Arabidopsis thaliana: one gene and its partner. The protein of the gene in region 1 interacts with the protein of each later gene in a pairwise test. Each region holds a gene or a part of one and is shown on either strand. Other genes may lie near its edges.

Region 1 (4,631 bases):
GAATCCAAATTTGCTTGCCTTTTTGTTCATCTTTTGTGTTTGTTATGTCGACAGAGAAAACACTTTATTCTCTCAATTATTTTCATAGCAGTACACTGTAACATATATAAAAGTCATCAATATTTAGACATCTATTAAAAATGATTTCATGGAGTTATATTTGATTTTTCAAATTACAGGGGTGAATTAAATTTAGTTTGTATAAGAAAAAGTACTTGTACCGAACCGAACATTATAGCTTAATTTATTTTGTTTTATTGTTGTAACAAGCATTAATCAATGCCCTAGTGTACACGGTGATGCTTATGTAAAGGTAACATGCCAACAACAACAAAAAGACAAGCACGACAGTTCCAAAATGCATTTGTCCCAACTTTTTCCTTTTTAGCAGCAAACATTCATAGCCGCAATTTGAATGGATAAGTCTCTTTACACTCTTTAGGTAATCATATTCATCTATCATAATTATAGAATCCAAAATTAAAAGCACTAATAATAACCATAAAGACAAATGAACTTGCGCAGTTATGGAGGTTGGTTTATTCTAAGTTTAATTGGTAATCCATTAAAGTTTTGCCATCTTTAGTGTCATGATGTATCCAAAATAAACTTGTGGAAGAAAAAAACATGTGAATGGTGTAAAAAGAGAAGTATATATGGTGTTTTTATCAAACATACAACAAAAATATTACATTAAACTAGACATACTCAAAGAGAAGACCTAGTGCTGATTCATCATTCCAGATTTGGATGTTCACATAGCACTTGTTCTTTCATAATCAGCACAATATGAGTCGAAGAAGGAGGAAAACTGATCATCGTTGTCGATGAAACCAAATTGATGAGAAGTAGTACTGGTTTCACCACAATAGTAGTGATTTTGATGATCATCAAACATCATCGTCTCTTGCCAAACCAATGACAAGTCCTCACCTGTCGAAGAGCCCTCATAATAATCTTTACTCTGATCACCATTGTTATTTTGTTCCTCCTTAACCATGCCTGCGTCTATTGCTGTCACACTGCTGGTGTTGTTCTCTTGCTCTTGCACCATAGCATTGACATGGTTCTGAGCAGTGCTAGCAGCCAATGTCTTTTCCGAATCCATAATGATTTCTTGATCAAAAGGCTCGGTCTTCGCGTGCGTTTGGTCATTGGCAGTGCATGTGTGGTAGCCAATGTATGTGATTTGGAACATCTCAGAATCTTGATCCTGTTTCTGAACTTGCTTTGTTGCTTTGCATCCTTGCGTTGGCTTGTGTGTGCATCTAAAGTAACTTCTGCAAAACATTAAAACGCATATTGATTTTAGGCCATTGCAAACTTCACATAGTGACTTGAAATATAACATATGTTTCGGCTAGAGATCCCTGGTATAAAAATGAGTTGCCCATGTTTATATGTATTATATATGTATTGTGAGTATATAGATACATAAATAGACATATAAGGAGTTAGGTAATTAAGGACCTTGGGAATGTGGTATTAAGAATCTCCTTTTGTCCATATTTCCTCCAAGCATATCTGTCTTCAGAACTTTTAGCTTCCACGATCCTTGTATGTGATCTCGTCCTGCAAATGATAAATCACAAATTTGTTAATAAATGACTAAACCATTTTTGCCTTTTTATGTTCATTTCAAACAAATCCACGGTACATTCAGTCTTGTTTGTACCAAACTAATCGCAATTATACACTAATAGAAAGTAAAACAAAATTCGGTAAAGTTATGTATGGTATAGTCAGCATTGATTGGCCCTATCCAATCAATCGTATTCATACGATTCCTATCACTACCATTCACACAAACAGTGATTGTATTTTTAGTATATATTAAGCACTAGACATTATGAACAAATTCATATCCTTTTAACCTTTACGATTAGTCATTTCTATATGGGGCACTACCACTATATGATGGTATCCATAGACAAAAATAGCAAATTGTAATGAAAAAAGTTCGAATAAAATCCACATAAAAAGGAGATTATATCATTAAACACGAATAAAAATATAACATAATAAATTGATATTTGAATTCAACTTTTTTTGTCACTTACTTTCTAGTGTAGCATCCTCTTTTACCCTTACCAACCCCTAATCTCTTCTTCTTACTCTCACCGGAATCTCCACCGTTGCAACTCACCGGAGTCGCCGAATCATCCCCACATGAAGCATTCCATGAACCCTCGACGGCGATGGGGACAGAGACGGCGACGGGATCAAAAGAATCAAGAACCGATATAGTTTTATGGAAAGATCCCAAGATCTTAGACATGAGCTCATCAACGGGATCTGGACCACCGGAAACTGAACCCGACCCGGAAACAAGACGGGTCTCATCGATGTGGTACTGGTTAGAGTGTTGATGAGAAAGGAGAAGCTGAAGCTGAGTAGCGAATTCATAGCCTTCGACAAGTTGGTCGACAACTTTTCTCTTTATGGATTTCGTGTTGTTACTATTCGAATCCATTTTTTTCTCACAAAGATACAATGAATATGTAACTTTTTTTAGGTTTTTAGTATGATGATTTGAGAATGAAGAAATGTTGTAATATAGTGGAAAGAGAAGAAAATAGATTTTTTCTCTTGATCAGAAAAAAATCAAAGGAAGATGCTTAGGAAAGAGAGAGAGATGCTTATGCATTATAATGAACATGAAAGGGTATAAAGGGAAAGTAACCAACGTAGTTATGAATTTAGTCATGGATTTGAGGTTATAATTGGAAAGTTATAACTTATCTATTCACCCATTGGCTTGCAAGAGCTTTGCTTATGTCACATTGATGATGTGGAATGACATCACCCATCTCCGTAACACGTTTGATGGCTTGGTGGGTATTTTTTTTCTCCTTTCTTCGCGGATTTATTTAATTAATTAATGCTCATGAAAACGATCCAACAACTTGGTTAGATTTTTAAATGTTTTTTGCGAAAAATTATTTTGTTTTTATCTTGGAGAAAGAGTTATATAACTAATATTTTATGACATTCAAATTATTTTTCAGTACCACGAAATTCACTTTCAAGGGAAAGAACCAAAATAAGGAGAACTGTTTTTTTTTTTTGATAATTAAAGAGGATAAATGTTGACAAGATATATTCTATATCAGACCAACCACTAATATATTTTAAGAGTAATTGGGTCAAATAGTCTTAAGACAGAATAATATTTAGAGTTTTATCAATCTCGTAATTTTATTTTGAAGATATAAATGTATATGTTTTGCTATATAGTAGTATTTTTCCTAAGAAGAAACTATTTATACGTGTGTATTCTCGTGCATTTACGGAAGCAGAAGGATCCTAATGAATATTCTCATTGATGAATTTTGTCATGGATAGACTAGCTACTAAAACTAAAAGCTATAAGCATATATATATATATATATATATATATATATATATAGATAATCGTGGTGAGACCGCTTAGTTCGGATCTAAAACTAGTAATCAAGATTAATCTCATTATACTAAGCCAACGTTATTTAATTTTATCTTTATGTTTTGTAGAACTGCCATTAAAAACGCCGGAAAAGTACTTAAGTAGATAATCAATGTTTTGGATCATTTGGTAAAAGAACCAATACAATCACAAGTCACAACTCTAGGTTATGTCAGCCTATTGCTTGCTTGGCCCTGATCACTTTGGCAGTACTGATTTTATTAAAAATCTATGAATTTTGAACTGAACAAAAATATTAAAATTTGTTGAAACTGTCACTACTTTAATTAATACTCGTGTAACTATTGAAATATTTGTGTGAGTCATCTCATTTAATACCAAAAATAAATTAAAACCTATGATCGTAAGAAATGACTCATTTTGAATTTTTGATCCGTTGAATGAAAAATATCTTCGTTTCATTAAAATGAGTAATTTTGAGTTGGTTAATTATTATTTTTATTTCTGTGACGCATAAAACAATACATCTTTTTTCCTACCAAAAAAAACAATATTTTTTAAAAAAGTAACATTTGTTTAGTATTGGGATATTGTGACGGCAATGAGGGGGCAGGTGCCACTGAGTACTCCTCGGAGTCACAATAATTTCAGTCCACATTGTACATCCACTCGCAAATAAATAAAAAAAATCCATAAGAGTCAAATCCATTTGTTTGCTTATTAATTCTCTAGAAATTACAGATTATATTACGCTTACTTTTTCAACTATAAACAAAAACAAAACGGCTTTACTAGTTTTAATTTATCATACAACTTAACGAAACAGATTATACCAACAATAATAATGAACGGTGAGTAGTATAATGGTAGAACGATGAAATATTTATGAAATATAATTTGTGTACGAACTAATTAACGATATTTTTGTTGTTGTAGTAGTTGACTTCGATCGTAAAAAGATGAATGTGTTATTTCTCGGTTTGAACCAATAAATATGTCCAAACAGCTTTGTTTTACTTCTTCGTTTACTCATCCAAATTCGGCATTTATCTATAAATCCCAACTGATTAATCATTTAGAGATTGTCAAAATATGGACACTAGTTATATTCAAATGTTAAATTATTGCTTTCTTTCGGAGATGATGAGAGAAAGGTCAACGATGATTGGGGAACTGCTATTGACAAATGACAAATGGTTATTAGAATAATAACAATGTTTATTAT
Region 2 (4,469 bases), 2.9 Mb from region 1:
GCCATTTATATTTTAACAGTCCTCGGTTAGAACTTAGAAGTTAAAAAAAATTAGCAAATGGGTTTTCACTTTTCAGAAACGAACAAAAAGAACTATTCAACATAATAAAATATCGAATTATTTCATTACAAAGTTACTACAAACCTTTTTGTTCTTCTTTCAGTTTAGCAACTATATATGGCCATGAAATTATGGTACGATCATCATTTATTGCGCATGCATCAAGTTGTCAATCGTTTAAGCTTTACATTAATCTTAAATGGTAGCCTACAAGGGAGGCCTTAATTATATAATTGATCTGTAACACTCTGTTGGCCCAGTCCAACATTTTGATACTAACAAATTAAAGCCCAATTATTTCATCTTTTTCTTAAAAATAGTTACTACTATCCTTTTTTTTGGATCAAATAGTTATTATCTAATTACTAATTAGATCTTCTAACCAGGTGTTAGACATGACAATTTGACCGGTCTATTCATTTTGTATGCATAGAACATCTGAATGATTTGAGAAGCAAAATAATAACTCATATGACGATTATATATATAGAGTGTTCAGGTGATAAAAAATTCAACTCAACTTATCAAATACAAGACATCACATATCATAGTATCTACAAAATTTCCAAATTGCTAGGTAACATAATTACAACCTTATTCTCACTACTGATTTATTCATCCAAACCTGCCTAAACCCATTATTCATTATTTATTTTCAATACGAGTTAGATTATTTATTTTTTTGACAGAAGTCACAGAACTTGTTGGGGGCATGACAAAACTAAGTATACAAGTCATAACTCTATAGCAATACTATTTGTGTAACTATTATAAGATTCATGTTAAAACATGAGGTATATGTGGTGTTGCACTTGGAACTCAAATCCAAGATTGGATTGGGTAGTTGCACTTGAAGGAATTTGCTCCACTAATGTGTGCAAAAATGTCTGAAGAATCTACCAATTGTTCCTCATCCTTCACTCCCATCTGTAAACCCAATCGGCTTAGTTAGTTTTCACATAAATTCATATAAATCGAGTTAAAATAACCCGGTTTTCTTACATCGTCTTCATCTTCATCATCATGATGGCTTGAAAAAGCTTGTCTATTTGGCTCACCAAATTCATCATTCTTTGCAAATCTTCCTCTAACTCTTGGTCGACTATCTGCCAATGTTTTCCTACACGCATACTACAACCCCCCAAAAAAATCATTGGGACAACATTTAACAACGGTTAAGTCCGGTTTGGTTTAATAAAAACCGAACCTTGATTTTCTTGTTGAAATTCCTTTCGTTCCTCTTCTTCATGTACCTACGAATCTTCTCTTTCCTTTGCTCAGGGGAGAGTTTTCCAACTTTGTTCAACGTTGAGTCTTCTAAACCGTTTATATCGACCGGTCCTAATGCTGGATGAGCTTGAGGTGTCACCAAGTGGCTCTGGTTCTCGGCGCCACCACCAAGTGCCTTCTTCAACAAAATTAAACCGGTTAGCATCACATCAGAATACCAACCCGGTCTTGTGACCGGAAATCTTAGCTCCATACCGGTTCTTAAAGATAACCAAACGTTAACCGGAAAATATTTGTAACAAAAACTCAATTACCTGGAGATCTTCTGGATTAAACATACGTTTGATGGAATCCGGACAAAAAAAACCACCATTATCAGCTTGAAAGTCCATCAGTGGATCATGTGGCTTATTGATTTCTGATCCCACATGAATATTCCCGGGAAGATAACCGAGATTACTTTCAGCAGATAATAAACCGGTACTCATATACGCCGGTAAACCGGACGAACGGAAGAAAGAGCAAGAAGGGTTCAAACCAAGATTGTAACTTGGGACTGAAGAAAGACAATCTTCTTCGAAAACCCCTGATTGTAAGGGAGGAGGAGCTAGAGAGGAAATCGCCGATAGAGACAGAGGATCTCCAGAGTATGAAATGTTAGGAGGCTGATGAATAACTTGGAGACCTGATGAGAAATCAAACTGGTCTTGGCTTATTGCCGTGAGGAGATGATCGATGACTGGATATTGCAGTGAAGATGATGAGAAATCGATTGAAGCCGTTATATCGTTTTCGAAATCTTCTTGTGAATCAAAGATTATGGACAGATCCGTGTTGTTGTTGTCATCTTCATCGTCTTGAAGGTTTGTGTTCTTGTTGTTGTTGTTGTTGTTACTGTTCTCAGTTGTTGTGGTGGTGTTAGTGTTGGAATGGAAGCTTCCGGATTTCTCAAGAATGTTTGAAGTAGAGGTGACTTCAGAGGATTGATTAAAGGTTTCTTGAAAGAGTTGTGGATCGCAGAAATCGAAGATCTGAGCACTAAGAGGGCTCGTGATATCATCCTGTTAAGATAATAAAAACAATAGTTAGTTTCAAAGATTAGATCGAGCATGGAAAGTAAATGAACCAAGATCTTTTGAAGAGATTACGTTAAAGCCAAGCATCAAAAAAAGGTAACAAAGGTTTTGGCTTGAGTCACAAGAAATTAGAACTGGTGAAATCATAAGAAGCTACAAGATATTAGTTCTTAAATCTTAAGAGAAATTTATTTATACTTAAGTAATTTTGTTCTGGCTTAACTATGTTAAGAATCTGTAAGATGTTTTGATTCTGTTTTTCGACATCCAAACACTCCAAAGATTTTGGTGTCTTGATCAAATCCAATGTTTGTTTGTTATCAATATTTGTTGAGGACAACACAAGAGAGATTAAATGCATCTGTTCTTTTATGTGACATGTTAAGAAGAAGTGTTCCAATTACTTCCAATAGCTAAAAAGATAAAGTAAAGAAGAGTGGAGTTTCTATAAACGGAAAGTTTTCTGATTCTGGTATTTCCTTTTCGTATTGACAAAATAATTTAAAATTGCCTGGTATGAACCAACATCCAGATTTTTTTCCCACAAAGAAAAAGTAAAGGGCACTTCATAAAATATCAGAACATGTGTGAAACCCATTATGATCATGATCATATACAAACCCATCATGATAACAAACAATGCTCCTAGTGAAATTCACGTAATATGTAGATTTTGCATAAAATCCAAGGTGAGAGATTAAATCTAGCATTTTTCGTTTGATGAGAATAAAAATCTATACTAAAATACGATAGATATAGTGAATTATGGTTACAGTTATTTTGTAGAACAATATTGTTCCATATCATGTGACGATTTTCTATTGGTTTATAAGTAATAATCGTATGCCAATGAGAATTATGATAATGATTGTTCAAAAAAAAATCGCATGGAAGGACAAATTGAAGTGCGGAGAGAATAACAAAGAAAGAAAAGCGAAAAGAATGAAGCAATTTATAAGAAGATCAAATGGAATATAAGTAGAAGAAAATGACGTTACACCAAAAAAGAAAAACTAGCTGAAATTATAGGGTAGTTGCCGAATAAAAGACTACGGAATAAAAATTAATCAGTTTATAAGATTAGACTCGAGTTTATATGATCTATACATGTAAGCAAAATTTCAAAGACAAAAACATCTACGCATTGCATGAATAAAAATGAAAGCAATAATGAGAAGAGAATTACGATGGAAAGCTGATCGTGAGAGTGAGACGAGATCATGTCTTGCAACATGTTTGTGTTCTTTGTATATCTCCAATGTTAATGCGAAAACTTTCTGGGAAAATAAAGAAAATTCCCGAGAAAATATGAATTATAGCAAGAAAATTAATGAACGAGGCTTCAAGGATGATTTGTGGAATAATATTGGAATGAGTGATGTATGATGAACAAGAAAATCCATGGAAGAAATTCAAATATTGGGAGGAAAAAACAACAAAAACTGAAAAAACAAAGAGGTAATTGAATTAAAAACAGAACAAAGGTTCTTCTGTTTGGACAGAGAAGAAATTCAAATTCTTATAGTTTTCTGGAAAAAAAGAGGTTATGGGAGTTTCACGTAACAATCATACATATATATATATACTTTTGGTTTTATGTGTATGTATATATTTGTATATACTAAACTAATGCATGTGTGTTTCAGTGTATGTACAAATTATTTTCACATAATTTTTATAATATATTCCAGCGTGGACTTGATGCAAAAATGTGATACCCTCGATTCTCCTCTTCACATGACGTGGAAAGCCCACGTAGATATAATGGTGTTGACGTGGGTAAAGGATCTCACGTAGGAGGAAACTATTTAGACCGGTCAATGAGTTTGACCCAATTCTTGTTCCGTGGATTTTGACGTTTTTGACTGAAAATCGTCCTAAATTAAGCCCTATATTCGTGGAATTAGTTTCTATGTTTTTAATTTAGATATGCATTTTTCTATCTTTTATCTCGTTTGCTAATTTTATTGACTTGGCTCATGATTTCCCGCAAAGGAGAGAAAAAGATTTCGACCAGGTCAGTAAAGTATTAGAAAATAGAAGATATCTAAAGTAAAATGCTACTGGACAAAATGTCTTTGGACAATAAGCATATTATTTGCC

Evidence for each region. The genes of interacting proteins can lie anywhere in the genome.
Region 2: the proteins of WRKY54 (region 1) and AT2G33350 interact in a two-hybrid assay, tested with the Arabidopsis thaliana proteins (one large-scale study listed by BioGRID).

What each region holds. Positions count from the first base shown.
Region 1 is NC_003071.7:16,999,882-17,004,512, forward strand, and holds WRKY54 (WRKY DNA-binding protein 54), read right to left. Parts: upstream 2,648-4,631; 5' UTR 2,474-2,647; coding exon 2,061-2,473; intron 1,573-2,060; coding exon 1,471-1,572; intron 1,281-1,470; coding exon 755-1,280; 3' UTR 538-754; downstream 1-537. UniProt on the Arabidopsis thaliana protein: Transcription factor. Interacts specifically with the W box (5'-(T)TGAC[CT]-3'), a frequently occurring elicitor-responsive cis-acting element.
Region 2 is NC_003071.7:14,133,247-14,137,715, reverse strand, and holds AT2G33350 (CCT motif family protein), read right to left. Parts: upstream 2,575-4,469; 5' UTR 2,514-2,574; coding exon 2,439-2,513; intron 2,352-2,438; coding exon 1,605-2,351; intron 1,469-1,604; coding exon of another isoform or gene 1,466-1,468; coding exon 1,268-1,465; coding exon of another isoform or gene 1,226-1,267; exon of another isoform or gene 1,192-1,225; coding exon 1,063-1,191; intron 988-1,062; coding exon 880-987; 3' UTR 555-879; downstream 1-554.